4 linked regions of the Oryctolagus cuniculus genome follow. Each later gene encodes a partner of the first gene's protein in a complex. Links are inferred from orthologs where the notes say so. Each region holds a gene or a part of one and is shown in the gene's direction. Other genes may lie near its edges. The genes, in order: CENPA, NTMT1, HJURP and CENPC.

Region 1 (7,074 bases):
TGGGTCTCGAACCAGCATCCACATGGGACGGCGGTGGTGAAGGCTGCAGCTGTACCCACTGCATCACAGCGCTGGCCCAAACACATAGTTTTTTAATAATTTGTCATAAGACAGAGCTGATGACCTAAGAAACAGAATGTGCCCATCCGGTGGATTCCTGTCCTCTTGTTCCCCGTAGGTACCTGGGGCTGCACCGTCTCCCACGTTCTACGTGCCCGCGCCCCGGGTGGCTCCCGAGATCTGACTCCCTCAGGGACTTCCTGGAAGCCAGAAGAGAGCTCTTTGCTCAGCTCGGGCTCAGCAGGAGGCTCTGTGCTTGCCTTTTATCTTTCCCTGAGAACGCAAGGAGCCGGGCACAGGCTCCAACGCCACGGCCCTCCCTTCCCCTTGGTGCACTTTCCCTGTGTGCCACCAACACAACCCTTTCTCTCTCTCTTTTTTAATTTATGCATTTGAGAGGCAAAGAGAGAGCAATGGACACGCACAGAAAGAGCTGCCATCTGCTGGTTTATTCTCCAAATGCCCACAAGGGCCAGGATTAGGCTGCGGGCCAAGTCGGGAGCCCGAAACAAACGCAACACAGGTCTCCTGTGTGAGTGACAAGAATCCAGTGACTTGAGCCTCCCAGTGTCTGATCTGGCCGGGAGCAATCGGGAGGTACAGCTGGGAGACGACCCGGCTACTCTGATGTGCGACACGGGCATCCTCCCTCGTATGGTAAACAAAACCCCCACCTCCCGAACCTTTGATTACCTAGGGTTTTAAAACCATCCCCTAACCTCAGGAAAGATTATTAACAGAACAATACCATGAGAGTCTACACAGTGTGGGGACTGAGTAGACGATAGCACCAGGTACCTGGGTTCAAATCCCAACTCAGCTCTGAGTCTGCTCCCTGCGTGGCCCCACCAAGGCCTTGGTTTCCTTATCTGCAACACTGGCATTAGAAAGTCTTAGCAGGACACGGGATTGGCTTAGTGGGTTAGGGGCCTGTTGGGACATCACGTCCCACAACAGAGGGCCTGGGTTCCACGGCTGCCACCGTTCCTGACCCCAGCTTCCTACTCAAGCCGACCCTGGGAGCAGCAGGAGATGGTGCCAAGTGGCTCAGTTCCTGTTACCCGTGTGGGAGGCCTCGGTTGAGTTCCTGGCTCCCAGCTTTGGCCTGGGCCCAGCCCCAGCTGTTGTGGGCATTTGAGAAATAACCCTACAGATGGAAGTCTCTCTCTCTAGCCTTCTCTCTCTGACTTTCAACTCAAATGAAAATAAATAAAATACGAAATCCCACCTGAGGTTGTTGAGAGGCTCAGGCGAGTGACTACGTGAAGTACTTGGAGGAGCGCCTGGCACTGTGTCCACACTCGGCAGAGGCTGCCGGTCGTGGGACTTGCACGTTGTGCCTTGCTTCCTCAGCCTTTACAAACTGCTGGGGACAGGAACCATGTCCCGAGTACCCATGATCCTTAGCACCTCACACCCCTTACACTTCACTCATAACAGATGCGGAACGCGTCTTAAATGGATCTGATCTGCAGATTTTCATAGATTGTCCTTTCAACGCGCTTACGCTATTCGTCCTTCTTTTAAATGCAGGAGCTGGAGTTTTGGTTTTACTCCAATCACAAAAGACAGAACAAGAAGAAAAAGGGTAGATGAAGACCGGCAGCTGGTCAAGCAAAAGTTCAGGTTAACAGGCCTGGCCCCAGGCAGAGGGGCAGGTGGAAGTGAGTCCCTACAGCAGACTAAGCCAGGCTGCTCTCTCCTCGCTGGGATCTGGGGCCCCGGCCTGCTGTGCCAGGTGTGCTGTCATCCATCCTGGTCTCCCGCGTGGATGCCAGGGGCTCGGGCACTTGGGCCTTCCTCTGCTACCTTCTCAGACGCATCAGCAGGGAGCTGGATTGGACGTGGAGCAACTGGGACTCAATCCGGCACTTCTATATGGCATGCCATCCTGGCAGGCAGCGCCTGGTGGCTTAACCCTCTGCGCGAAGGTGCAGGCCCCGGTTCATCCAAGTTTCTGCATGGGTCAGAATTTCCTTCCTTTGTCGGGCTGAGCATTGCACTGTACATACTACGCTTCGACCTTTGAGCTATTGTGAACAAAGCTTGGGTGTGCAAAGCCCTGTCCAAGCTCCCGCTCTCATTCCTTTTGGATGTACAGCCAGAAGCGGGGCAGCGGGGCTGCTGGCTCACGGGGAAACGGTTTCCTTGTTTTCAGGAACCACCACACTACTTTGCACAGCAGCTGCCTACGGTTTTGTATGGCCCCATCAGCAGCGCCTGAGGGTCCATGAAACCACTGATTTTATAACCAGCAATTTTCCTGATTACAGTGCATGTTCACTGTAGCACATTTTAGGAAAATCCAAGACAGCAAAATGAGGAAATTAAAATTCCCTCTCCTAAGCACGGAGACACGACCGGAATTCGTGTTGTTCCCCACAGACAGGCGAGAGATCGCTTCCCTTGGGGCGAACCCGTCCCCACGGTCCTAGACTGGCAATGACGCCTGCCTGGCCGGACCCCGGCTCAGAGCGCCCGGGCCTGGCCGCCCCCACGACCCTCACCCTCTGTCACGGACACGCGGTGGCGCTGGCCTCGAAGCCCTGCCCCCCAGGGAGGGACACAAGCGCGACAGGAGGCTGTCACGTTCGCTACGGGTCTGTTGGCTCATCTTTAAAGCCCTCTTAGGGCTGAGAAAAGCCTGGGCGAAAGCTGGAGGGACAGACTCTACAAACGCACCATCCACCGCTTCCTTTTCAGATCAAAGAGCCCTTGAAGCCATCCCTCAAGGACAGGCACTCCCACCAAGCAAAGACCTGGAGAAACCCCGCCTCCCTTTACTTTCCCAACCTCCCATTGGTCGATTCTGTCGTCAATCCGTCATGTTTCCCCGCTCTCTGCCTATCAGCGCCGCTCTCCGTGTCTCAGCTCGTGTTCTCATTGGTTCTTCCCGCGGTCGTTCTACCCGGACGTTCCAGAGACAGCCACTGGGAGTCGCTGGATTGGGGTTTTAAAAAACGCCGGCGATGGAGTGGGCGGAGCGGGCGATTTGAACCGGAGGTGCCGCAGCCTACGCCGGAGTACCGACTCCTAGAGCCACACGGGCGGCTCGGGCGGTTGTCCGGTTCCCTGCGGGCGCCAGCCTTCCCCCCCGGGGCCGGGAGGTCCGAGCAGAAGCCTCGGGGCCGGAGGCGGCCCGCCATGGGCCCGCGCCGCCGGAGCCGCAAGCCGGAGGTCCCGAGGAGGCGCAGCCCGAGCCCGACCCGCAGCCCCCGCCGGCGGAGCGTCTCCTTAGGTAACCGGCCGCGGCCCTTCCCTGGGGGACGCGGCGGGGGTGCCGTCCACGCGAGGTCTCGGCGCCACTCCGGGCCCGCTCTACGGCTCACGGGACGCAGGCGCAGACGGGCCGGGTGCCCTGGGCACGGCCACGCGCGCGCGCTCGTGCACGCTCTGGACCCGAGTTTGTCCACTTTGAGCGAGGCTACGTCAGGCCTTGAACCGCGCCCGCCCCGACCCCGTCCGGACGGCGTGACCCCCAGTTGCTGGAGTGTGCGCTGGGGCGGGGTGGGGGGCTCGGGACCCTGCAGCGGGCCGTGGCGCGGGTCTGTCCTACACGTGCTGGCGACAGCAGCTTTCCCTCTTCTCCAACTTGCTGCATAGCCAGGAGCAGGGTGGGACACGTGTGTAGAGGTTACTGCCTTTTAGGACGTGGTGCTGTGAGAGTGGGACATTCTTCCCTGAGACCGGAGTGCTTAGTCCTGAGTGCTCCTTAATCCTGACAGTCCCGCAGTCGGAACCTTAGGTAGACTACTATGTCCTGCACGTGGTCAAGTCCGTGTCCGCCTTTTTCAAATTCTCACCTTTTATTACTTAGTGTATGGCATTAGTGAGGCCCTGAGACTAACTGTAAGAGCAAGGGTTTTGCCCGTTTTTGTCTTGTTGGGAATTGTATTTATTTATTTAAGAATGTATCTATTTGCAAGGCAGAGTGACAGAGGAGGAGAAGCAGAGAAAGAGGTATATTGATTCCACTCACTGGTTCACTCCCCAAGTGGCTGCAACAGACAGGGCTGGGCCAGGGTGAACTGGCCTGGAACTCCATCCGGGTCGTCCTCCTGGGCTGCAGCCACCTAAGCACTTGGGCCATCATCGTCTGCCTTCCAGGAGCCTTGGCAGGGAGCTGGATCGGAAGTGGAGCAGCTGGGGCTGGAACAGTGCCCTGATGGGATGCTGACGGCCCTTGTTTGTAATTTTAATGGGAATATCAGGTGTGATGTTTGCTTTTGCTGTCCAATGTAAAAAATGCCTCTTCTACTCCTGGTTAAATGGAAACTTTTAGCTCAAGTGGGCACCCAACAACACTGCCCTTGTCTGATAGCCTTGCTTTTTCGTTCTCCACGTTGGCAGTTCCATTTCTTCCTCTCCAGCTTCCTGCAGCACCACCCTTCCACTGTTCGCTGACAGTGGCCCCGCTGGAGTGTCCTGCTTTTCTGTCAAAAGCCACTCCTGGGGTCAGCGCTGTGGTGTAGCAGGCTAAGCCTCTGCCTGCAGTGTGGTATCCCGTATGGCCGTCAGTTCATGTTCCAGCTGCTCCACTTCCCATCCGGCTCTCTGCTGTGGCCTGGGAGAGCAGTGGAGGATGGCCCAAGTCCTTGGGCCCCTGCACCCGCGTGGGAGACCCTAAAGAAGCTCCCGGTTCCTGGCTTTGGATTGGCCCTGCTCTGGCCATTGCAGCCATTTGGGAGTGAACCAGCAGCTGGAAGACCTTTCTCTGTCTCTTACTCTCTCTGGCTCTCAAATTAGTAAAATCTTTGTATATGTATATTTAAAAAGCCACAGCTCCCATCCATATGCACCTGCAGAGGGTCTTTCTGTTGTCTTCTCCTGCGCTTAAAATTAAACCCAGACTCACATTGGCTTTGGCGGATCTGCTCTAGTGTTTGCAATCTGAAGGACAAGGGCAGGGGGGTGGGCATTTGGCGCGGTGGTTAGAGACGGAGCTTGCGTCCCACATCAGAGTGCCTGGGGCCCAGAGTCTCAGCTCTGCTTTTGATTCCACCTTCCTGTTAACATGCACCTTGGGAGGCAGCCCGTGACGGCGCAAGGACTTGGTCCCTGCCATCCATGAGGGAGACCTGGATGGAGGTCCAGGCTGCTGGCTTTGGTCTGGCCCAGCCCTGGGCTGCTGTGGACATTTGGGGAATGAACCAGCAAAGAAAGTTAAAGGACAGAGGGAGTCTGCCTCCCCTTCCTGTCGCTGCCTTGCAGATAAGTGAACCTTGAAGAGCAGGTGTTTCCCTGACGCCGCGTTTCCAGTCTTCCTGGCGCCGGGATCCCTCCACTTCCTGTAACGGCTGCCCTTGTAGAGAGGCTTGTTTAGTGTCCACCCACTGTGTCTGTTCCCCATCTCCCAGCCACCCTTGCACCCATTCCGCTCTGACCCCAGAGCCGCTCCCCTCCGGTCGCTGTCCCCAGCTGCACTGACGACGCTGCCAGGGCTAATCCACACCTCTGTGCCTTCCTCACCCAGCCCCTCAGAGCCCTGCGACACCCTGCTCCTGGCTGCCCGGCCGGCCCTGCGCACGCTCTGGCGGTTCCCAGTGTCCTCCACGCTGGTGCCGCCCTCTGCGGCTCCTTGACCGTGGCCAGCAGGGCTGCCTTCCCTTTCTGCCTCCTCCCCGGGCGCCCGTGGCTGCTGTCAGACTTCTCCCGCACCCTGTGCTGCTGCCTTCCTACCTGAGTGCCCTGGGCGAGTCACACACATCCCAGCCCCGACGCCTGCAGCCCCTTGTCCAGTTGCCCCGTTTTGGTAAATGGCACCGCCACCCACCCAGGGTTCAAGCCAGAAGCAGGGAGACGTTCTTTTCTGTCACCCCCATATCCAATCCAAAGGCAAGTTCAAGCAGTTCTGCCTGCGCACTGCGTCTGTCATCACCCCACTTGTCTCCATCTCCGCCCCGAGCAGCCCAGGGCAAGCCGGCAGCCACCACGTGGGAGCCTGCTGACCACTGCTCTGCTCCATCCACCCCTCTGCAGCTCTCCGCACACGGCGCCAGAGGGTCTTATTTTTATTTTTTAAGATTTTATTTATTTATTTGAGGGGTAGAGCTACAGACAGAGAGAGGGAGAGACAGAGAAAGAGGTCTTCCTTCTGCTGATTCACTCCCCAAATGGCCGCAATGGCCGGAGCTGCGCCTATCTAAAGCCAGGAGCCCGGAGCTGCTTCCAGGTCTCCCACATGGGTGCAGGGGCCCAAGGACTTGGGCCATCTTCTACTGCTTTCCCAGGCCACAGAAGAGAGCTGGATTGGAAGAGGAGCAGCCGGGACTAGAACCGGCGCCCATATGGGATGCCAGCACTGCAGGCAGAGGATTAACCTACTGCACCTCAGTGCCAGCCCCTGAGAGGATCTTTAACCCGGAAGTAGATCAGCTTTTCCTCTCTCTTCCTGAACACTTTCCCTGGCTTCCGGTCACTTTAGGATTAAATCCCAGCTCCTTATGTTGGCGTTTCAAGACCCAGCTGCTGCATGTTCTGATTTGTGAAATTCATTTGAAAGACAGAGCTGTCATCCACTGGTTCACTCCCCAAATACCTGCAAGGGCGGGGGCTGGGCCAGGTCGAAGCCAGGAGCAGGAAACTTAATCCAGACCTCCCTCATGGGTGGCAGGGACCTACCCCTTGAGCCATCACCCACTGCCTTCCAGGGTGCCAGGCTCAGGTGCGGAGCTGGGACTTGAACCCCAGCACTGTGGTGTGGCAGTGCTCTCCACACACAGCTGACTGCATCTCTGATCCCGGCTCTTCCCCGTGAGCTTTCCCTGGTCGCTTCTCACGTATTCGCATCACGGATTTCCTGTCTCGCCCCTCTGAGGTCATCGCCTGTATTTAAGGGCTCTCCTTTCTCTGCTACCTCAGATTCCTCCGGAGTGGTTTTTCTGTTGAGTTGGGTTCCTTCCGCTCGCGGTGTCCTTTCTCAGATCGTGTGGTGACCTTTCGTCGTGTCCCTCTTCACCTTGTGTGACGCCGGGCCTTGTGTGTGAAGGCTGCTGATGGGCGGTGGAGACGAGG
Region 2 (7,112 bases), on another chromosome or scaffold:
CTCCGGGCGCGCACCGCGGGCTTGGAGTCCCGGTCCTGCCACCACGCGGCGCCGTCCCCCAGGACCCGCGAGCTCTTGGCGCCGCCGCGGCTCGCCCAGGGCTCGAACGTGGTCAGCGTGGGCAGCAGCCGCGGGTCTCTCCGTCGGACACGGCCGTCGCCGGGGCACCCGTGCGGCGCCCCCGCGTTGGGGTGGCGGCGGAACATGCTGCGGCCCGCGCTGCGCTGGGCTCAGGGCATCCTCACGCCGGCGGGGGCGGCGGGGGCCGCGCGTGGCGCAGCGGCTGCGGAGCCGAGCCCCGGGCCATCGCGCCCAGAGCCTGGTGGCGTGGGTGGTGTGGCTAGCAGGGGGTCGCCGCTGCCGGCGCCGCCGACAGCGAGTGGCTTCAGGCTGGAGTCGCTGAGCCTCTCTCAATTCAGCTGAAAATGGTGACGGCGGCAGCACCCACCTTTTGGGGTTGCTGTGACGTGTAGGTGAGGGAGCACGCATCAATCGCCCAGAAGAGGACCGGCACGCGGGCCACGTGCGCCCTTCTCATTACTTCAAAACCCCGCGGGGTAGAGTTTGGTCTCAACCTCAGCCTTAAGGCCCGGGGCTACGCGTTTGCTCCGCTGGGCGCTCCCGCCCCGCAGCCAGGGCCCGGTGTTCGGGTCCCCCGGTCCGTGCGCCTGCCCCTTGGCGGGAGTCCAGTGCCATCGGAGCGCGCACAGCACGCGGAAGATGGGGGGGGGGGCTTGCTACGGCTGCTAGCGCTCCCCTGGGAACTAGGAATCCTGAAACTGTCTGCCCTAGTCCTATCCCCTCCCCCAGCTCTGACACGGGGGTCTCAGAGGCTGCTTTGTCCCCACCACACCGCCCCCACCCCCAAAAGCCCAGATTGTTGTCAGCTGCAAGGGGTCACTCTCACCTTGCCGGGGCTTCTGGTTGGGGTCAGGGCAGGTCTTGTGAGTTTAGAGCCCCCTAACAGGTGGGCCAGCCCCAGGAGAGCCCATCTCCCCTGCCAGGTCTCTCTGCCAGCCCCTCGCCAGTGCCCCCTGCACCTCTGCAGGGTCATTGTGATCCGCGCCCCACCCACAGCCATCTGAGGAACAGAGCCCCCAAGCCTGGGGTGGAGGGCGGGGCTTGGTCACAGGGGGCCCCTGAGATCTGGGAGCTCTGGTGGGTCCTGTCTGGGTAGCTATGCAAGTAGGACTTCTCCTTCTTCCTGGAGGCCAAGAACCAACCCCAAGTCCCTGCTCTGCTTCTCGGCTGTGTCATGATGCACAGGTTTCTCCCGCCCCAGGGCTCCGTGGGGGAACTCAGCGGGTAGAGAGGCAAGGGTGGGGTGGACAAGTATGTCACTGGCATTGTCCAAGTTCATAATCTGGGGCCAGCACTGTGACGTAGCGGGTAAAACCACCACCTGCGCGCTAGCCTCCCACATGGGCGCTGGTTCTAGTCCCGGCTGCTCCACTTCCGATCCAGCTCTCTGCTGTGGCCTGGGAAAGCAGTGGAAGATGGCCCAAGTGCTTGGGCCCTGCACCAAGGGCTGGGAGACCTGGAAGAAGCTCCTGGCTTTGGATTGGCCCAGCTCCTGGCTGTGGGGGAGTGTCTCTCCCTCTCTGTCTATAACTCTGCCTCTCAAATAATAAATAAATAAACATTTTTAAAAAGTTCATAATCTGAAAATGAAAAAAATGACTTCGTAGTTCAAGTTTCGGGATGAGGCCCTCGCAGGAGCTGGGCTCCGTGTTCTAGAACTGCTTCCCAGCTGGCCGCCAGTGCGTTCCTCGGGACTCAGAACTTTGCATTTAAAGGGTGAGGTTTCTAGATGGGTGAGGAAAATCAGACAAATCAGATGGTCTCTCTCCTTTTTTTTAAAGATTTATTTATTTTATTTGATAGGCAGAGCTAGAGTGAGAGAGAGAGAGAGAGAGATTTCATTGGCTGGTTCACTTCCCAAATGGCTACAATGGCCAAGGCTGGGCCAGGCCAAAACCAGGAGCCATGTGGGGCCCCCCCTGCTGCTTTCCCCTATGCGTTAGCAGGGACGGATGAGAAGTGGAGCAGCCGGGACCGGAACCGGCGCTCAGTGGGATGCTGCTGTCACAGGTGCTGTCTAGGGAGCCCCACAGCCCTCGTGTTCTGCATTTACTGAGTGCCTACTATGTGCGAGGCTTGGGAGAGGCTCCACGGCCAGGGGTCTGCCTGGCCTGGAGGCATCCTGCACTGAGCGTGCGCGCGCGTGTGGTGGGGGGTCCTGCCCCCCGCCAGGTAACCAGGCACGGCTGGGCCTTTGGGTGCAGGAGGGCTGGGAGCAGAACCCTCCCCAGGAGGATGCAGGCGCCAGCCCAAGAAGTTGCCCAGGGTCTACGCCCTTTTCCTAGAGACGGGGAAGAGGACGCTGGGGAGGGAGGCTCAGATCCTGGAACCCGCGTGTGCCCTGGGACAGCCCGAGGGGAGGTCCCCGCGGGTGTTCGTCAGCCGATGGTCAGCTCCCCCGCGCCCTGGCTCCCACTACAGGCACCTCCTGTGTGCTTCGCCAGAGGAGGCTGTGCGGCCGTGACCCCAGGGTGTGTGTCCACCTAAGGTGGATGTGGCGTGACCACAGCTTTCCTTTCCCGAGTTCTGGGCTTTGCCAGGCGTGATGTCAAGGCTGCACCCTGACGGCATCAGCACCGCTCACGGCAGAGCAGGGCCCTGCAAGCCCGCTGCCTCGGGACCGGTCCAGAATGTCAGAAATGGGCGACTTTAAACAAAAATGCCAGTTATCTGCTGCAAAGGCAGAGACAGACCCGGACCCACAGACCTGTCGCTGGCTCATTCCCAAACGCCTCCCCCACAGCCAGGGCCGGGCCAGGCTGAAGCCAGGAGCCCTGAACGCCACCCATCCGGGTCTCCCACGGGGGCGGTAGGGGCCCAGCCACTTGGGCCACCAGCTGCTGCCTCCCAGGGCTGCACATCAGCGCGGAGGGGGAGCCCGGAGTGGACAAGGGCTCAGACCCAGGAGCTCCGATGGGGGACGCGGGTGCGCCAAGGCCAGCCTCGCACCGCCAACTTTACGCCCTGGAAATGCTTATTTGGGCTGGAAACCCCTTAGCTCCGCCAAGGGAATTCCTTCCTTCTCTCTCTCTCTCTCTCTCTCTCTCTCATCGCATATCACTTTAAGGTGCCAGTGGGGATGGGCTGCACCGAAGACAATGGCTTCTCTCCCTTTCTCCTCAAAGGAGAGCCCACAGAATTCTCGTCCTCACAAGTCCAGACGGGCGCGGAAAGACGGCCACGCCGCGCGAGCCCCCCACGGCCCGCAGCGCACCCGGAGCCCGCGGGGCGGGGCGAGCCGGCCGCGGGCGGAGCCAGCTGCGGCCCCGCCCCGTGCCCGGAAGTGACGTCGGCGGACAAAGGCAGCGCGCGCCGCCCGCCGTTGCGGCTGGTCGTGGAGTGCCGGAGCTGCGGCGGGTCCGTGGGGTCGGGGAGGGGGTCTTCGCCGCCGCCGCCCTCCTGTCCTCGTCCCCGCCCTCTCCTCCTGCGCCCCGGGAGCCCCCGCCCGGGGTGAGTAGCGCGGTGCGGTGCGGGGCGGCGAGGCCCGGCTCGTCACGTGACCCCGGCGCGGGCCCCACGTGCGCGTCCCCGGGAGGCGGCGGGGCTGACCTGGGCAGGGCCGGGGCAGAGGGGGCCGGGGCCGCGGCGGAGCCCCTCCGGGCAGTGGGGCTCCGGAGGGCCGCTCCCCGGCGTGGGCGTGGGCAGCGCGGCTGCTGTCGTGTTTGACCCCGGCCCGGCCGGGGCCAAGGTCAGCGTGCTTTCGGGGAGGCGGCCGTGTCCGGGAGCCCAGGCCGCGCTGCCCAGCGGCCGTGTGACCCTTTCTCTCGGTCCGCACAGCCCGGGCGTGGCGGAGTGGCCGCGGGTGGGGAGCGTGGGATGATGACCCAGGGGGCGGGCCGAGCCCCGGGAGGGACCTGGGCGCCCGTGGCTCCCTTCGGGGGCTGCCCTGGCGCTCCGGCCCTGCGAGGGGCCCCAGGCCGCCCCGGCCACGCCGTCTTAGCGGTGCCCGGCGCTCGCGGTTTGCGGGGAATCTCAGCTGCGGGGAATTTGGCCTCGGCCTTTCAGCTTCTTCGTGCTCACTTTTTAAAAATTTATTTATTTGAAAGTCAGAGAGAGAGGTAGAGACAGGGACAGAGAGAGAGAGAGGTAGAGACAGGGACAGAGAGAGAGAGATCTTCCGTCCGCGGGTTCACTCCCCAGATGGCCGCAATGGCGGGAGCTGGGCCGATCCGAAGCCAGGAGCCAGGAGCTTCTTCAGGGTCTCCCACGCGGGTGCAGGGGCCCAAGGACTCGGGCCATCTTCTGCTTTCCCAGGCCACAGCAGAGAGCTGGATGGGAAGTGGAGCAGCCGGGACCAGAACCGGCGCCCATACAGGATGCCGGCGCTGCAGGCGGCGGCTTTGCCCGCTAGGCCACAGCACCGGCCCTGTGCTCACTTCAGCCTTCCCGGAGCCATGCAGCCGAGGGAGAGTGACGCCCGGGGTCCGAGCGAGGCTGGCAGACCTGGCCTCTCCCACCCTGCGGGGCCCTGGCAGGTGGGCCCCTGCCCGCCTCTGATCAGGCCCCGCCTGCGGTCGTCTCCAGCCCACAGGCTTGGGGCGCGGGTTAGAGACCCTGCGCCCGAGCCCTCGGGGCAGGCGTGTGAGCGGCCGCCCTGGCGCACTCCTAGCGTCTGCGTGAGTGGATTTCCTGTACGTCTAGGCATCCCGTCGTGTGAGGCTTTTGGTAAAGCAAAAAATCGCTGTCGGGAAGGGCCTTCGGCGTCCCCGTCCTGGGTGCTGGGGATTTTCTTAGATGTGGGGAGCGGCCAGAGCTGCGCGGAGCTCACGGTCTCCCGCGTTTAACGGCCGCTCGGCGAGTGGCGGACTGGCTGCAGGTGCTGCCCTCTGGGTACAAGGCCCCTGGACCTGGGTGGGCGCGCCCCCTGCCTCAGGGCGCGCTGGCTGCACGGGGGGGGGGGGGGGGGGGCCATCAGTGTCAGCAGCACTCGCACGCTGCCTGCCCTGTCCCTGTGACGGGTGTCGTGGCCGCCGGCGCCTCTGCCGCCTCAGGTGCCGGCGCCTGGGGAGGCGCTGAGGCGCTCCGTCTCCGTGTGCCGCCAGCTGTGCACCCGGGCGCGGGGGCCCAGCCTCTGGCCCGTCTTGTCCTCCGTAGGCTCAGCCACACTCCTCTGCCGCTGCCGTGCCCCCACCCCCGCCCACCGTTCAGAAAGGGCCCCTCCGTCCTTGGGCTCTCCGACCCCGGGAACCCTCGTCTTCCTGCCGTGGGTTCCAGTTGGTTCCGATTTTCTTCCTCAGTGCGGACTGCAAGCAGAGGGGGCCCGTGAGCCCACCACCGCACCCAGAATGGTGCCCTGACCTTGCCAGTGTCCTGGGAAAGACGCCGTCTTCCCACTGGCCGGTGGGAGGGGCTGGTGGGGCCCCCTGCCTGGCCACGTGGCTGGTCTCCCTCACGCATCAGCGTCCACCCCTGCAGGCTGCAGAAGCACAGATCTGTCTCAAGTTCACTGCTTTTTTTTGTTTGTTTAAAGATTATTTTTTGGAGAGGTAGAGTTATAGAGAGAGAGAGGGAGAGACAGAGAGAGAGGTCTTCCATCCGCTGGTTCACTCCCCAAATGGCCACAACGGCCAAGGCTGGGCTGATCTGAAGCCGGGAACCAGGAGCTTCTTCTGGGTCCCCCACGCGGGTGCAGGGGCCCAAGGAGTTGGGCCATCTTCCACTGCTTTCCCAGGCCATAGCAGAGAGCTGGATCAGAAGAGGAGCAGCCGGGACTCGAACCAGTGCCTATATGGGATGCTAGTGCCGCAGGTGGCGACTTTACCCGCAACGCCACAGCACCAGCCCCAAGTTCATTGCTCGTTAAAGGTAAAGTCTAAATTCTAAACTAGACCCACAGTGGTCCTCTGGGGGGAGGGGGGGGGTCTATTTTTTTTTCTTTCTTTTTTGAAAGCCAGAGTTAGAGAGAGAGAAAGCTTCTATCTGCTAGTTCACTCCCCAAATGACGCTAGCAACCAGGTCTGAGCCAGCAGCTCCACCCTGTCTCCCACGTGGGTCCAGGGCCCACGCACCGTCTCCTGGGTGCATTAGGAAGCTGGGTCCGGAGCCAGGCAGCCGGGCTCCAGCTGGCACTGGGCTGCGTGCTCCGCCCGCCCTGTCCTCTGGGAGCTGCAGCCCCTCTGCCTGGCCAGCCACCGCTAGGGGGCGCCCTTCCCGCACCTCACTTGTGTGGGTCCCAGGTGTGGCTGCTTTTCTGCCTGGCCGTCTCCCGCTCATGACTGGGGTGGGAGGGCCAAGGGCTTCCCGGGTCAGCAGGAGTGTCCACAGCCGGGCCGAAGCGTCCTGCCGCGTCCTCCTCTCCCTTAATCCCGGGTTCTCTGCTCTCCGGGGCCAGAAGCCACGGAGTCGGGGTCACGCCGAGGATGGCGGCAGAGGCCGGACACTGGGCCTCGCTCTGATTTGCGGGAGGGAGCCCGCGCTGCCGGTGTGGGGCGCCTGGCGGGGCGGCTCACCCCTCCCCCCCCTCAGGAGGGGCGCTGAGGCGGGGCTGGCGCCAGCATGACGAGCGAAGTGATCGAAGATGAGAAGCAGTTCTACTCCAGGGCCGAGACGTACTGGAGGCAGGTCCCGCCCACGGTGGACGGCATGCTCGGGGGGTACGGCCACATCTCCAGCATCGACATCACCAGCTCCCGCAAGTTCCTGCAGCGGTTCCTCAGGGTAGGCAGCTGTGCTGGCTCCGTGCGGGCCGCCGGCACCTCTGGGCGCCTCCCGCCACAGGGCCGTGGCCAGCGCCGCCTGTGGTGCTGGCCGTCAGGTTCCCGGGTGGAGCGGTGGCCGTCCTCTGCTGCACAGTGCTGCCCGCCCCTCCTCCCTCTGTGGTCTTCGGGGAGCACCGGAGGCTGCTGCTTGCCCTGCCCTCCCTCCCCTCCCCTCCCCTCTCCCCCTTCCCTCCCTCCCCTCCCCTCTCCCCCTTCCCTCCCTCCCCTCCCCTCTCCCCCTTCCCAGCCTCTGTCCCCTCGCTGGGGTCCCAGGAGCCAGGAGACCAGTGCACCGAGTTGTCCCACTGGTGTGGGAGGGAGCCCCCGCCCTCC
Region 3 (6,537 bases), on another chromosome or scaffold:
CCCGTCCTCAGGGTCGCCCCCTCCGTGAGCGGCCACGCGGGGCCCCATCTTCAGGGTCACCCCCTCTGTGAGTGGCCACGTGGGGCCCCGTCCTCAGGGTCACCCCCTCCGTGAGCGGCCACGCGGGGCCCCGTCCTCAGTGTCGCCCCCTCCGTGAGCGGCCACGTGGGGCCCCGTCCTCAGGGTCGCCCCCTCCGTGAGCGGCCACGCGGGGCCCTGTCCTCAGGGTCGCCCCCTCCATGGGCGGCCACGCGGGGCCCTGTCCTCAGGGTCGCCCCCTCCGTGGGCGGCCACGCGGGGCCCTGTCCTCAGGGTCGCCCCCTCCGTGGGCGGCCACGCGGGGCCCCGTCCTCAGGGCCGCTCCCGAGGCCGTGAGGTTTTCACAGTAGCACCTGCTCCATCCTCCAGGCGGCACAGGCACCGTCCTGGAGGGGAACACGCAGGCTCCCCGCAGCTCTGACGTCGACTTCCTTCCTTCCTTCCTTCTTTCTTTCAGGCTCCAAAGGCAGCGATGTGGATGCGTCTCCGGAGCGGGAGGCTGCGGCTGCCCGGGCTGTGGTGGTGAGAACTGTGTGCGCCAGGGACGGCAGGCGGCCTGAGGCCTCGCGTTCTCTGGCTCCCCCTTGAGGCCCCCTGAGGTAGCACGTGCCTCCCTCTCAGGCTGGCCGTGACGCCTGGTTTCCGTGGCTCTAAGTGATGTGGGGCGACTCACCTGGCAGCGTGGTCCCCCCTGCCTGGACTGAGCCCCCAGGCTTGAATGCAGGGTTCCGAGTTCTTGCCCAGAGCCTGTCACCCACCAGGGGGTGTTCTAGCCAGCGCTTCCAGATTGGCCCTCGCGAGCTCATGTGACCTGCGAGCTGGCACCACGTCAACAGTGGTGTTTGTACGGTGGTCTCCCCTGTGCCCCGCGGGTCACAGAGGCCACCTGCCATCTCGCCTTCCTGCGGGTCGGGAATGGGGGTGGGGTGCACACAGGCGTCTCCCAGCCCCGGTCGCCTGCCGTCAGACACCGTGAGAGCTGGCGTCTGGTTTTACCACGGGATTGCTTTTGGGTGCAGGTTTGTGGCCAGGCACCCACGTGGCACTTTTAGGAGAAGAGGCAGTGATTCAGCGTGGGGGGGGGGGGGCACTTTGTAAATATCTTGCAGGGCTGGGGGACAGGCAGGGTGTCCTCAGCCAGAGGAGTGGGGTGCTGGCCCTGCCCCAGCAAGTGGCTGGTACCTCCTGGTCCCACACCCCTGCCTCCCCCGAGCAGGTGCAGGAGTGGAGCAGGGCTGTGGAGCCAGCCACCTGGCCTCCTGGGCTGGTCATGGTCTCCTTACAGGCCAGGGCTCACTCCTGGCGCTGGGCCCTGAACTCCTGGGAGGTTGTTCCGGGTGTTTTCCTGTTCCAGGAACGCTGTCATAAACCTCGCCAGACTTATTTATTAAACTGTACTTGGGTGACCGACCTAGGGCCAGGTTGCTGGGCCGGGGGAGCACAGAGGGGCTGGACCTCTGGCACGGTGGGAGGAGAGGTTACTCGGGACAGCCCGGTGGAGGGAGCTGTGCGTTCTGAGCCTGCCAGTCAGTCCAGAGCTCACCGGGTCAGCCTTCTCAACACCGCCTCTCCCCCGTCAGCCCGCAGCGCCCCAGGGCCCTTTGGAAGTTGAGTTGAGAAGGAAGTATTTGACCCAAGTGGATATACTGCTGCAAGACGCGGAGTTTTTTGAGGTAATGTGTTGCCTGGTGCACTGGGTGCCCTGAGCTCGTAAGCGGAGGGCGCCCTGCACGCGCTGTGCCCGTGTTACTGCTCAGAGCCAGGACGGCTCCCGTAGCGGAGGGCGCCCTGCACGCGCTGTGCCCGTGTTACTGCTCAGAGCCAGGACGGCTCCCGTAAGCGGAGGGCGCCCTGCACGCGCTGTGCCCGTGTTACTGCTCCGAGCCAGGGCGGCTCCAGGCTCTGAGACCTCCCCTGCCCTGGGGCAGCACCACCGGGGCAGCTGCTGGAGGCCGGAGCCCTGGGGGTGTGCCCTCCGCTGCCCACTGCAGAAATCTGGGGCCGTGCGTGGGGCTCGAGCTCTTGGGCAGAGCGGCTTTGAGCTGCACAGTCAGGGACCAGAGCCCCCCTTCCCTGGTGTGAGGGGCTCCGGCTCGTCCCAGCTGCCCTGGGTCCGTGTTCTGGTGGGAAGGGAGGAGGCCCCTGGATGCCTGAGCGCCCGTTACCCTGCAGCTGCTCCCGGAGCTCTGCCCGCGGAACGGAGCCTGGCAGTGCAGGGACACAGGGGTCACCTCTTCAGCTTCCTGCCTTCTGTCAACGTCACTCACACCAAGGAGGACGCCCTGGCTCCCAGCAGGCAGGCAGGGCCCGGCACGATGAAGAGCACCCCTCTCCCAGCACAGGTCCTGCCGTGCCTGCGGCCGCGGCAGCACCACGGGTCCTGGAGGGGCCTGTCTCCACCGCCCGCAGCGAGTGGCGTCCTCTCGGTTGCTGTGTGACCTGGCCAGGGGACTGGAGGGCGGGGCAGCTCCCGGGGGTCATCGCCCGTCACCAGCTGCCGTGAGGTGCTTGCTGTCACAGTGGATGGTGAAGAGAGGCCACCAGCCCTCCCGTGGGGGGAGGGAGTCCCTGGAGCCATGTGGACTGCTAGATGTTGCTGGGAGTGTCACGGCCACGTGCTTGTCCACACCGCCCCGCTGCTGCCCGCCGTGTGTTGAAAGGGGAGCAGCTCCTTACCCCGCCCTCGGGGGAGGCATTGCACTGGCTCCACGCGCCCAGGGCCTCGGCACCTGACAGCTCTCGCGATTGTTGGCTTTCGTTTCAGAGAGCAGCTCTCAGAGACGGGAAGGACACGTACAAGACCCTGGCCCGGCCGGCTACGCCTGCCCCTGGTGAGTGTGGCCCATCCCCTTCACTCGGGCACAGGAGCAGTGCGGTGGGCGTGGCTGCCCTGCACGCCACAGGGACCCTCCTGTCAAACCAGCTGCGTCCTGTGCACACGCGCACGTGGACGCACATCCATGTGCACACTGTCCCCTAAGAACAGGGCACCCCCCAGGGGAGTGTAAGAAGCTGAGCATATGGTAGACATGAAACACTGACACTGACAGGACCTGCCCCGTCTGTCGTAGCCGTGTGTGTGTGTGTGGCTGTGTGTGTGCGGGTCGAGTTGTGGGTCCCTCACTGTTCAGCTGTCCCCCCCCCGCCCGCAGCACCCCCCGGCATTGGCTCTCTGGAGCGGTCCAGGCCTGTCATTCTGCAGGGCGGCCCTGGGCGTGGAGGTGCCTGGTTGTTTCCTGGGGTTGTGCTCGTGGGAGCACTGCTGGCACACGCGCTCGCTGGGTGGTGCTGTGAGCCCTGCAGGTTCCGGCCAGCCTGTCCCATCGTTGCTGGCCTTTGGGTCCGGTGGTTTAGTTGAGGTGGGGCCTGCTCAAGAGCCCTGGGTGCCGTCTGTGGCGGCCTTTTCCACCCAGTGGTTTTGGCGTGCAGTGGCGATGGTGGCCAAGGCTGGTGGCTCCGTGGTCAGCTTTGCTCTGCGTAGGGGGGCTGTCCCCTCACTGTGTCTCCTCTGCACGCTCAGGGTTCAGGTGTTTACTGTCTCAGAATCAGGACTCGCGGGCCGTTTTTAAATTCATGTCGTGTTTTGTTGCTGGCGTCCGGGCCAGTGCTCCGGCGGTCCTGGATTGGGCCTGGGGAGCCCCTCAGGCTGGCCTCCGTGTCCTTTAGCTGTGCCCATCAGTTCTTGTTTTTGTGTAAGGATTTATTTACTTGCTTGAAAGGCAGAGAGAGAGAGACATCTTCCATCGTCTAGTTCACTCCCCGATGGCTGTAACAGCTGGGGCTAGGCCAGGCCAAAACCAGGAGCTTCTTCCAGGTCTCCCATGTGGGTACAGGAGCCCAAGGATTGGGCCATCTTCTACTGCTTTCCCAGGCCATAGCAGAGAGCTGGATCAGAAGTGGAGCAGCCAGGACTTGAACCGGTGCCCACATGGGATGCCAGCACTGCAGGTGGAGGGCTAACCTGCTGCGCCACAGCGCCGGCCCTCCCCGACTCGATGTCCATCCCTCTGGGTCATCACCGCAGTAAAGCGTGCTCACCTGGCTGGTTGTCCAGAGCCCAGGAGCCCCGCAGGGGCGGCACCTCTCGCCCTCCTCCCCTTCTGCTTAGTGAGCGTGACACTTTTTTCCCAATACATAAAGCATTTTGCATCCTGCAGAAGTCACAGCTGCGCGAAGCAGTGCATTCGGGATGCTTAGCTCACTCCCGCCCAACCTGGCGGGAAGTGTGTGGGCACCTCCTGCCTTCCAGTGAGCTCTCGAAGACAGCAGGTTCCAGGTCAGTCCCGGGGTGGGAAAGCAAGAGTCTAGTTTTGATGCCTGGAAAGGAACCTCTCCCTCGGAACCTGGGGCTTCTTATTATCATTGTCATTGTCATTATTGTCATCGTTGCTTTGAGAAGGTCGCGGTCCGGCCTCGAGTTCCATGATGTCTGCACAGGGACGTGTGACTGTGTGTTTCTCCCAGGGTGCCGTGGTGGGGTCTCTGGAAGCAGCCCCGGGGGCCCGGCTAAGCCGGCCTCGCCGCCCCAGGAGCAGTGCCCCCTGCATCCTGGCTCCACAGACACGGGCACGGAACACCAAGACGACAGCCTCTGCTCCCTGGGGACGGACGGGAGCGGCCGGTCCTGGGCGGCTGAGGAGCTGTGCGACGTGACCATCAGCGAGCTGTACGCGGGGATGCTGCGCTCCATGAGCCGGCTGCTGAGTGCAAAGCCGGCGTGCGTCATCTCCACCAGAGCGTCTGTGCTTCAAGCCTGGAGCTGCAGGCGGCGGCACAGGTGGAGGAGCAGGCTGAACAGGACGTACTGCGAGGCGGGCAGGCGTTCCCGGGGGAGCTCCTTGCACCCACCCCTGCCGGGGCCGGAGCCGGAGCCGGGTGCGGGACCACTGAGAGACTGCGAGAACCTACTCGATGTTTCTCGCCGTAAGGCGGGTTTTAAATTGGAAAGGGCTTGTCTTGAAGGCAACAAATCCCAGGTGCAGACGTCCGATCCGGGCTGGAAGGAGCTGCAGCTGACGCCACGGAGGAACTCGGCTCCGGCAGGCTCGGACGTCGGAGCGGTGCGCGCCCTGGGCCGGGAGCGCAGGCTCGGGATGCTGCAGTGGCTGCTTTCCCCTGTGAAGCTCATCTCTGGACCGGCAACGCCACAGGGCCCCCGCGGGGAGCGCTACAGGGAGATCCGGGTCCGATTTGAGAGACTGCATCGGGAGTACGCCCTGAGCCCCGGCAGACAGCCTCGCCACACGGGCCTCGCGGACTCCTGGGCCGTGGGCCTGTACAGCGGCGGGCCGGTGAGCCCAGGGGGTTCCTGGAGCTTCGAAACCCACAGGCCGGGTCTGTCTGTGAGAGCGAAGGGCAAGACGTTGAGGGAGGCCTTCGAGCGCCTGGGCAGATCCGTGGACTCAGGCCAAGGCCGGCCAGAGGACGGTCCCTCTCCCTTGCCTGCAGGGCCCAGCCCCGTGCCGAGCCCAGGCCGCCCGCAGCAGGCGAGGAGCCTTGTCCCGGGAAGCAGCCCTGGCCCGCTTAGGAAGGCGGCGTCACCCGGCGGAGCTGTTCCAGGACCCAGGACAGAACCTCTGGGCTGCGGGAGGAATCGTTACGATGAGATTAAAGAAGAGTTTGACAAGCTGCATCGGGAGTACTGCAGCACGGCACCGCGGCCGGGCGCAGCGTCTCCAGACACGGCAAGTGCGCAGGCCCGGCACCGGACAGACGATGTCCTGGGAAAACCGAACCCGGACTCCCGGTCCCAGAAGTTGTCGCTGTCAGCCCAGTGGCACAGAAGAGGCGCACTGGGCTCGAGCGCAGTGGAGGACGGGGCGTCTGCTGGAGCCACCAGGGGCGACCATTGGTCCCCTGCGAAGCGCCGCAGGCTGCCAGACCCCCAGCTGCGCGCACCCCAGGCCGACTCCTGGGACTCCCCAGGCCCGGACCACCCAGCGGGGAAGAGAAGGTGAGTTTGTGTAGCTGGGGCTGGCGGCTTCCTGCGGTAGTGACCTGCGTGTGCCTTTGGACAAATTCCAGAACATTCTTGGGTATTTGTTTCTAAGCATTCTCTCCCCTCTTTTCCTTCCTCTAAACCAGCGTTTCCATTAGGAATGTGTGTGAGCGTGCACACGTGTGTGTGTGTGAGAAAGACGCATCAAACGCGTGTTCTGTGATGTCACGTGTGTATAACATCACGTGTGGGCGCGCCAGCAGCAGATTGAACAGGCTGCGTCGTCTGCTGTCGGCCAGAACCCTTCCGAGAGGGAGCCCAGGAGGGCGGCCCAGCCCTGGGTGCGGCGCAGCAGGCTCCTGGTCTCCGCCAGTGCTCCCCCTGGAGCTGGGCTCGCTGGTGGTCCCGGGCCATTTGCCCCGCCCCCTCAGCCCCCTCCTGTGCCCCTTGGGCTTTACAAGACCAACACACCAGCCGAGTGACTGGCGGCCAGCGTTGCAGGGGTTCTGGGAGGGGGAAGCCTCAGACAGCCCCCAGCCCCTTCTTCAGGGAACGGCCTT
Region 4 (7,092 bases), on another chromosome or scaffold:
CCAGGAGCTAGGAGCTTGTCCACGTCTCCCATGTGGGTACAGGGGCCAAGATCTTGGGCCATCTTCCACCACTTTCCTAGGCAGCAGAGAGCTGGATCAGAAGTGGAGCAGCCAGGACTTGAACCGGTGCCATATGGGATGCGCACACTGCAGGCTGCGACTTCACCCCGCTATGCCACAGTACTGGCCCCTTCATCCATAGTGTTTTTATTGCTAAGAGTACTACCCTGCACCAATGTACTAAAACTTGTTTATCCAACTCACCAGGACAGATGCTTGTATTATGTTGTGGTGTGGGATGGAATGTGGACTAATCTTTAAGTGGTTAAGTTCACTTTAAGTTCACTTGTGAATGTTTCTGTGCTGTGATTTCTATTTCTGTATGGAAGCTTGCAACTGAAGAGACTTGGTTAACCAAATACTTTGATGAAGGTCAAGGAGTTAACATAAAATATTGTTTGAACTAGTTTTAATATTTTCAAATTTTAAATGACCTAAAGTCCTAAGTAGCTACAATTTTTACTTCCCTTCCAAACTTAATTTCTGAATATTTTGTTTTCTCTGTATGTATCTAGTTACCTATACTATCACTGACTGATACATACACACACACACACACACACTCCTTACCTATGTCTGGTAGTTGTGCTAAATTATGTGCAATTCTATTTTTAGCATACTAAAACCATGATGGGGTTTTGGCCAACTGTACTAGAACAGATGGAGCTGAAAAATTTCTTTGGAAAATGTGGAGTTCCTCTGACTGTTTTCACAAGTACGCCACTCCATTTTCTCTCTCGAGTGCTTCATCTGCACCATCATTTGCGTCCTGCATTCTACAACAGCAAAACCGTTGCATTTCACCTTTCTCAAAACAATTGTGCAAGTTCCTGTTTCTGGTGGAAGTGGGATATAATTTTACATGTGGGACTAACATCTGTGATTGTGCTTGCTAAAATTTCTCACTGAGAGGCAAAGAGTGTAGCGATTAAGAGCCCAGTCCCGGGGGTGGGCATTTAGCCTTGTGGCTGGAAAGCCAGTTAAGAGTCCCAGGTCCAATACTGGAGAACCGGGATTCCATACCCAGACTCTGGGAGGCTGCGGTGACAGCTCAAGTGTTTCAGCCACTCCCAGTGGGAGACCTAGCCAGACTTCCCTGCTCTGGGTTTTGGCCCCAGCTCAGCCCCAGCCCAGCCTGGATCTCCCTGTGCACTCCTGTCCCCTTCAAATAAACAAAGAGTTTAAAAGAGTTCTAGAGTCAGAGTTTTCAAGTTAAAAGCCAGCTCTGCATAGTGGTGGCATCATCTTGGGCACCTCACCTAAGTCCCTTGTCTATAAAATCGAAACATGGCTCTCTCACAGGGGTGTTCTATATGCTTGAAATGCATGTGAAACATCTACAGAGCTCGACAGGTACTATATTTCCATGAATGTTAGCTTTACTATTCCAAATGTGACAACACTCAATTACACACATAATATATACCAATTGGTAAAATTGCCACATACAGTAAAAAAAACACCTCCATAATGATATAATAGCTTTATTACTGAAATTTATTTATTTACTTAGAAAACAGAAAACAGAGTGGTGGGGGTAGGGAGAGAGAGCGAGAGAGCGAGCGAGCAATATATCTCCCATCTGCTGGTTCACTCCCCAAACGACCACAACAGCCAGGGCTGTGCCAGGTTGAAGCCAGGAGCCAGGAATTCCAGCCAGGTCTCCCATTTGGGTGTGGGGCCCAAGCCCGCGGGCCACCCTCCCCCGCCCAGGTGCATTAGCAGGAAGCTGGATTGGGAACCCAGCAACCCCTCTTTTCCAGTATTCATAGGAATTGCCAGAATTTGATTCCAAAATCTCAATATTATTCCCATTTTACAGCCAGGAGAATTGAGGAACGGACAATTAGTAGAGTAGAAGCCAGACATTTGAACTTGGACTTCAGAGTTCATAACCCCTCTTTCTTCTCTAATACATATGTAAATAACTTCCAACAGGTGACAGCATTTGTTAAAGCAGTACAAGTTTTAAAAGACCATTAACTCCTGATTCATGAATTTATTCAGCAGGCCAACTCTTTGGAGTACCATTTTCTTGTAGTTATTAAATCATAACAATGGAACACAGTGTCCCAGACTTCACACACTAGTTAGGTAGGAGGAAGTCTTCAGAGCAGTTTAGACTCCTATTACATCGTTAAGAAAACGCCCGGAACAGCGCCACAACGCGGCGCTGGGTGGCACAGTCACGGAGGCCCCGCCGTCCCCCAAAAACAGCCCGCCCGCGCCACTCGTAGGCCTGAGAGCGAGGAACGCAGAGACGCGGCGGAGGGAAGGAGGGGCGGGCCCCTAACGGCTTTCTTACTATTGGGCGGCGCCGTACGCTTTGCGCATGTGCCGTCCGTTTCAAACCCCGGAGCGCGCGGGGGCTTCTGGAAGCGCGCCTTGATGGGCTTGCAGCAGCGAGCGCCCGCTGCCAGCTGTCTCTGGGGCTGTCGTGGGCGGTAGTGTCGCCGGCGGGCGGCCGGGTCGGTCCGCGCTCACACTGCCCGAGCCGCGGCCCGTGCGGGCGTCTGCCTCGGAGCCCGTGCGCGGGCGGAGCGGGGCCGGAACATGGCGGCGTCGGGGCTGGTGAGTGTGGGCCCTGCCCCTGCCCGCTGCGGGAAAGCGGCTGGGGCCCGGGGAGCCGTCGGACGGGCGCGGGGGGTGGTCGCAGGGCCGGGCCAGCGGCGCGGGCGTCTGCAGTCCGCTGCGATCGGCTGCCGATGGCCGGAGTTGACCGACTGCGTTGTTTGCTGAAGGTCTGGTGAGGGGAGCTGGGGCTGCGCCTGTGGTTCTCGTCAGGAAATCCAGTTTCCACTTTGCAGCTTCGCTCCGTTCCCTCCCCCGATTCCGTTCGTGCGCGGAGTGCAGGCCCTGAAGCAGCCTGAAGGTCCGCCTGCGTTGCAGACCGGCTGGTCTGGAGGATGAAGTTTGTCTCGAGATAATCAGACTTTCCCGTTTACTTAAGCAAAACGTTGCGCCTCGCGGGCGGTTTTGGAGGCCGATTTTCGTGGGACATGGGTTGTTGATGAAGTGTCCCCGAAGGCAGCTCTTAGGACCGGCGTGGGTGGAAGCACATCTTACTTCTGTGTGTCTGGACTCCTTGCTTTGTCTTTTCACAGGTTGCTTATGGTTCCTGTACATGTAAAACCCGTATCGTCTCTTCCTACACTGGTGTCTTCTAATCTATCCCCTCCTTTAGTGATGTCTCAGGGGGTAAACTTAAGTGTGCATGAAAGGGTAGGTTAGTGTGCAGGTTTCCAAGGAGCGCATGCGTTGTTTACGTTCTGCAGGGTCAGGGAAAAAGAAACAGTGACGCTGTTCTCCCGGGGGAGAGGAGGTCCTGTCCTAAGTGTAGCACTGTTCTAAGGTCTGACTTTGTGCCATACCCTGTTTAAGGACGAGGTGAGGGGAGTTGGCAGGGGGTCTGCAGCCCTTCCTGCACCGTAGTGGTTCCCAGAGGAGGGCAGCGCTGTCCGCTAGGCGGTATTTGTCGACGTCTAGAGGAAGTTTAGGGTGTCCCCAGGCGGGGAGGGGTAGGGCGATTGAGGGAGCGCTGCAGCGCCCAGAGTGGGTGGAGGCAGGGGTGCTGCTAAGCTTCTGTAGTGCGAGTTTAGGTCCCCGGGACGCAGAATCCTCCATCCCCAGAGGTCAGTGTGCTGGGGAGCGGGGACCGGGGGGATGGAGCTTGGGAAACCCCATTTGTTGTATCATATTTGCTTTGAGAAACATAATCTGGCCGGTGCCGTGGCTCAGTAGGCTAAGCCTCTGCCTTGCGGCGCCGGCACCGGGGCACCGGATTCTGTCCCGGTTGCTCCTCTTCCAGGCCAGCTCTCTGCTGTGGCCCGGGAGTGCAGTGGAGGATGGCCCAAGTCCTTGGGCCCTGCACCCCATGGGAGACCAGGAGAAGCACCTGGCTCCTGGCTTCGGATCGGTGCGGCGCCGGCCGTGGCGGCCATTGGAGGGTGAACCAACGGCAAAAGGAAGACCTTTCTCTCTGTCTCTCTCTCACTCTCCATTCTGCCTGTCAAAAAAAAAAAAAGTTATTAAAAAAAAGAATCATAATCTGACAGTGAAAAGAAATTCAAGTTTAAGTCCACTGAAAGATAAATTGAAATTGCTATTTGTGAGCTTGCTAAGTTTATTTTCAATGAAAATTTTACTGTTCCAACTTTTCTTTTTAAATGTATTTTATTTATTTGAAAGAGTTACAGAGAGAGAGAGAAAGAGAGGTCTTCCACCCACTAGTTCACTCCCCAAGTGGCTGCAACTGCTAGAGCTTTGAGCTGACAGATCTGGAACCAAGCAGGAGTTTCCTCTGGGTCTCCCACATGGGTGCAGGGGCCCAAGGACTTGACCGTCTTCCACTGCTTCCTCAGGCACATTAGCAGGGTGCTGGATCGGAAGTGGAGTAGCGGGGACATGGACCAGCGCCCATATGGGATGCTGGTGCTGCAAGCCGGGGCTTTAACCTGTTGCGGCACAGGCCGACCCCACCTTCTCTAGCTTTTAAAATTTATTTGTAAGGGCCGGCGGCGCCGTGGCTCACTAGGCTAATCCTCCGCCTGCGGCGCCGGCACACCGGGTTCTAGTCCCGGTCGGGACGCCGGATTCTGTCCCGGTTGCCCCTCTTCCAGGCCAGCTCTCTGCTGTGGCCAGGGAGTGCAGTGGAGGATGGCCCAAGTGCTTGGGCCCTGCACCCCATGGGAGACCAGGAGAAGCACCTGCCTCCTGCCATTGGATCAGCGCGGTGCGCTGGTCTCGGTGGCCACTGGAGGGTGAACCAATGGCAAAAAGGAAGACCTTTCTCTCTGTCTCTCTCACTGTCCACTCTGCCTGTCAACAACAACAACAACAAAAAAAGGAAAAAAAAAAAGCTAGATCTAAGAGCTTAGATGAATAAAACCCACTTTTTTAAAAAAAAATTTATTTGTAAGGCAGAGTGTCAGAGAGGGAGGGAGATTCTGGTCAGTAGCGCTAGAGTGCTTCTGGAGGCTCTGTTTTTGAGGCTAGGGGAAGAATGGCCTACTGTTCTGGGTAGAGATTTTTTTCCAGTTGTCTGTTACTCCTTTTTGTCACTCCTTGCATCCCTCAGATCTCAGGTTTCCCAGTACTACATGGTTATGGCTTTCTCCTGGGTAGATCAGCTTCCATCATCATTTAGTGCAATATTGCCTGAGCTTACTTTGGGCTGCTACTAATGTTATTCTGTTTTATCAGTTATCATGCTTTATCTCTTTTCAGTCTTCCAGAAGTTTGTTAAATTTCTCCCCATGTAGTCCTCTCTTTCCTTCTTTTTTCACTGTTGTTTGGTGCTGTTTTAGTTCTGCATTTTATATTTAGTGGGCACTTCCTTCAGGGAAGGGATATCAGGAGATATTAGTTAGCCAGCCTGGATTTTGGATGACCTGAAAGTTAGGTTTTTGATGGTGGAAAAAGTATGGGAGCAGGTGGAAGAAGAGGAGGAATAAAATGGAATGGACTTTGGGTGGAACTGGAAGTAGTACAAGGGTATTTCACAAAGTGTGTGGGATATACATATTATGAAAAACTGTATGAACTTAAAAGTATTTTGTACCAAAGTCAGTTAACTTATCTTTAATTTTATTTTCCATGAACTCTTTTGAAGTACCCTCATATACATGAAGTTTTTAAAAACAGTAGATAGAAAGTATGGTTCTCTTTTACTTACTTGATCCAAATGAATTTCCTTTTGTAGTGTTTATGCCAGGCAGTTAACAAATGCTTCGTGAATAAATGAAGAACTGAAATTTTCTGGCATACCCTTATTGGGGTGGAATTACTTTGAAGATAAGTGATACCTCATTATATTTTAAACAAAAAGATCAAATTGATGATGAACTTTTCTTTCAGGATCATCTCAAAAATGACTACAGACGAAGATTTTGCCGGCCTTCCAGGTGATTTATAGACTTAGCTTTTAAGATGATTTCTGTACCCATCATCAGAAAGTAGATTTTAAATAAAGAAAGGAAAATTATAAGTTATGACTAAAGTAGTAATATCCATGTCCACTTATTAAGTATAGACATCTTAGTTGCTTTATTCTAATAAAAATAACAACACAAGGAATATAATGGCTTAGTGGCAGGGAGAAAAGAAATTTACGTGTCAAAGTGGTGGACTAGAAAGAGGAAACTCAGTTCTGACTAAATGACATCCATGGGGAAAACACTGTGTTGAATGGATTGAATGGCAATATTATACAGATGTAGCTTATTTTCAGTAGGAAAAATGAAAAATTGTGCATGATGTCATTTATTTGCTGGGTACTTATTTGGGTTGCTTTGGTTCTTCCTTTAGTTGTAAAATCTCTAAATATTTAATAATGTTAGTGTAAACATCATGCTTTTTTTTTTTTTTTAAACAGGTATAGTTATAGACAGTGAGAGAGAAAGACAGAGAGAAAGGTCTTCCTTTTCCGTTGGTTCACACCCCAAATGGCCGCTACGGCTGGTGCTGCACTGATCCGAAGCCAGGAGCCAGGTGCTTCTTCCTGGTCTCCCATGAGGGTGCAGGGGCCCAAGCACTTGGGCCATTCTCCACTGCCCTCCTGGGCCACAGCAGAGAGCTGGACTGGAAGAGCAGCAACCGGGACTAGAACTGACGCCCATATGGGATGCTGGCACTGCAGGAGGAGGATTAACCAAGTGAGCCACGGTGCTGGCCTCAAACAGCATGCTTTTTAAAGTGAAGATGTTATTAACAAAAACCGAATGTTCATTGAGCCTTGATTTTGCTAGAGCTAGTGGAGCATAGAAATATGTTTTTTTGTTTTCCTATAAGGAGCTTACATTCCTATGGGAATGTATATGTACATTTGCAAAATAATTTAATGAACAAAAGTATTATTTGTAATAATATAATAACAGAGGCCTATCTTGCACATCATAGAGAGTAGGCCTATATATAATTAGGCATTAATTTGCATATAGGTAGCCAAGAAAGACATTAGGAAGGGACTGGGATATTGTTATTAAGAAAAGCTTTAAAAGTTGTAACATAACCTATGTGAATATTGACTAGATA

Evidence for each region.
Region 2: the proteins of CENPA (region 1) and NTMT1 are in contact, whole or in part, in a crystal structure (PDB 5CVD), measured with the Homo sapiens proteins. The link is inferred for Oryctolagus cuniculus from reciprocal best matches to the Homo sapiens genes CENPA and NTMT1. Residues at the interface, in NP_001800.1 of Homo sapiens: Gly2, Pro3, Arg4, Arg5, Arg6, Ser7; in NP_001273725.1 of Homo sapiens: Tyr19, Trp20, Met30, Leu31, Gly32, Tyr34, Ile37, Trp136, Asn168, Ile175, Asp177, Asp180, Asp212, Glu213, Ile214, Tyr215.
Region 3: the proteins of CENPA (region 1) and HJURP are in contact, whole or in part, in a crystal structure (PDB 3R45), measured with the Homo sapiens proteins. The link is inferred for Oryctolagus cuniculus from reciprocal best matches to the Homo sapiens genes CENPA and HJURP. Residues at the interface, in NP_001800.1 of Homo sapiens: Lys64, Leu65, Ser68, Arg69, Arg72, Asp83, Phe84, Asn85, Trp86, Gln87, Ala88, Gln89, Leu91, Leu92, Ala93, Glu96, Ala97, Ala100, Phe101, His104, Glu107, Asp108, Leu111, Leu112, Leu114, His115, Ile132, Glu136; in NP_060880.3 of Homo sapiens: Glu14, Asp15, Leu18, Lys21, Leu22, Ser25, Arg26, Arg28, Phe29, Arg32, Met33, Leu36, Lys39, Tyr40, Pro43, Phe44, Thr47, Pro48, Val49, Val50, Gln51, Met52, Ala53, Thr54, Leu55, Ile65, Trp66, Gly67.
Region 4: CENPA (region 1) and CENPC share a complex: the UniProt entries of both Homo sapiens proteins name them as parts of the CENPA-NAC complex. The link is inferred for Oryctolagus cuniculus from reciprocal best matches to the Homo sapiens genes CENPA and CENPC.

The regions. Positions count from the first base shown.
Region 1 is NC_091433.1:176,096,245-176,103,318, reverse strand, and holds the start of CENPA (histone H3-like centromeric protein A), read left to right. Parts: upstream 1-3,020; 5' UTR 3,021-3,204; coding exon 3,205-3,298; intron 3,299-7,074. UniProt on the Homo sapiens protein: Histone H3-like nucleosomal protein that is specifically found in centromeric nucleosomes. Replaces conventional H3 in the nucleosome core of centromeric chromatin that serves as an assembly site for the inner kinetochore.
Region 2 is NC_091432.1:232,537,373-232,544,484, forward strand, and holds the start of NTMT1 (N-terminal Xaa-Pro-Lys N-methyltransferase 1), read left to right. Parts: upstream 1-3,348; 5' UTR 3,349-3,531; exon of another isoform or gene 3,532-3,535; intron 3,536-3,608; exon of another isoform or gene 3,609-3,769; intron 3,770-5,713; exon of another isoform or gene 5,714-5,752; 5' UTR 5,753-5,886; intron 5,887-6,546; 5' UTR 6,547-6,576; coding exon 6,577-6,738; intron 6,739-7,112. Other genes in the region: C1H9orf50 (uncharacterized protein C9orf50 homolog), read right to left, coding at 1-206. UniProt on the Homo sapiens protein: Distributive alpha-N-methyltransferase that methylates the N-terminus of target proteins containing the N-terminal motif [Ala/Gly/Pro/Ser]-Pro-Lys when the initiator Met is cleaved.
Region 3 is NC_091434.1:5,615,963-5,622,499, forward strand, and holds part of HJURP (Holliday junction recognition protein), read left to right. Parts: intron 1-496; coding exon 497-561; intron 562-1,619; coding exon 1,620-1,712; intron 1,713-2,209; exon of another isoform or gene 2,210-2,803; coding exon 2,804-2,870; exon of another isoform or gene 2,871-4,503; coding exon 4,504-5,992; exon of another isoform or gene 5,993-6,537. UniProt on the Homo sapiens protein: Centromeric protein that plays a central role in the incorporation and maintenance of histone H3-like variant CENPA at centromeres.
Region 4 is NC_091439.1:97,738,155-97,745,246, forward strand, and holds the start of CENPC (centromere protein C), read left to right. Parts: upstream 1-2,344; 5' UTR 2,345-2,613; coding exon 2,614-2,631; intron 2,632-5,916; coding exon 5,917-5,963; intron 5,964-7,092. UniProt on the Homo sapiens protein: Component of the CENPA-NAC (nucleosome-associated) complex, a complex that plays a central role in assembly of kinetochore proteins, mitotic progression and chromosome segregation.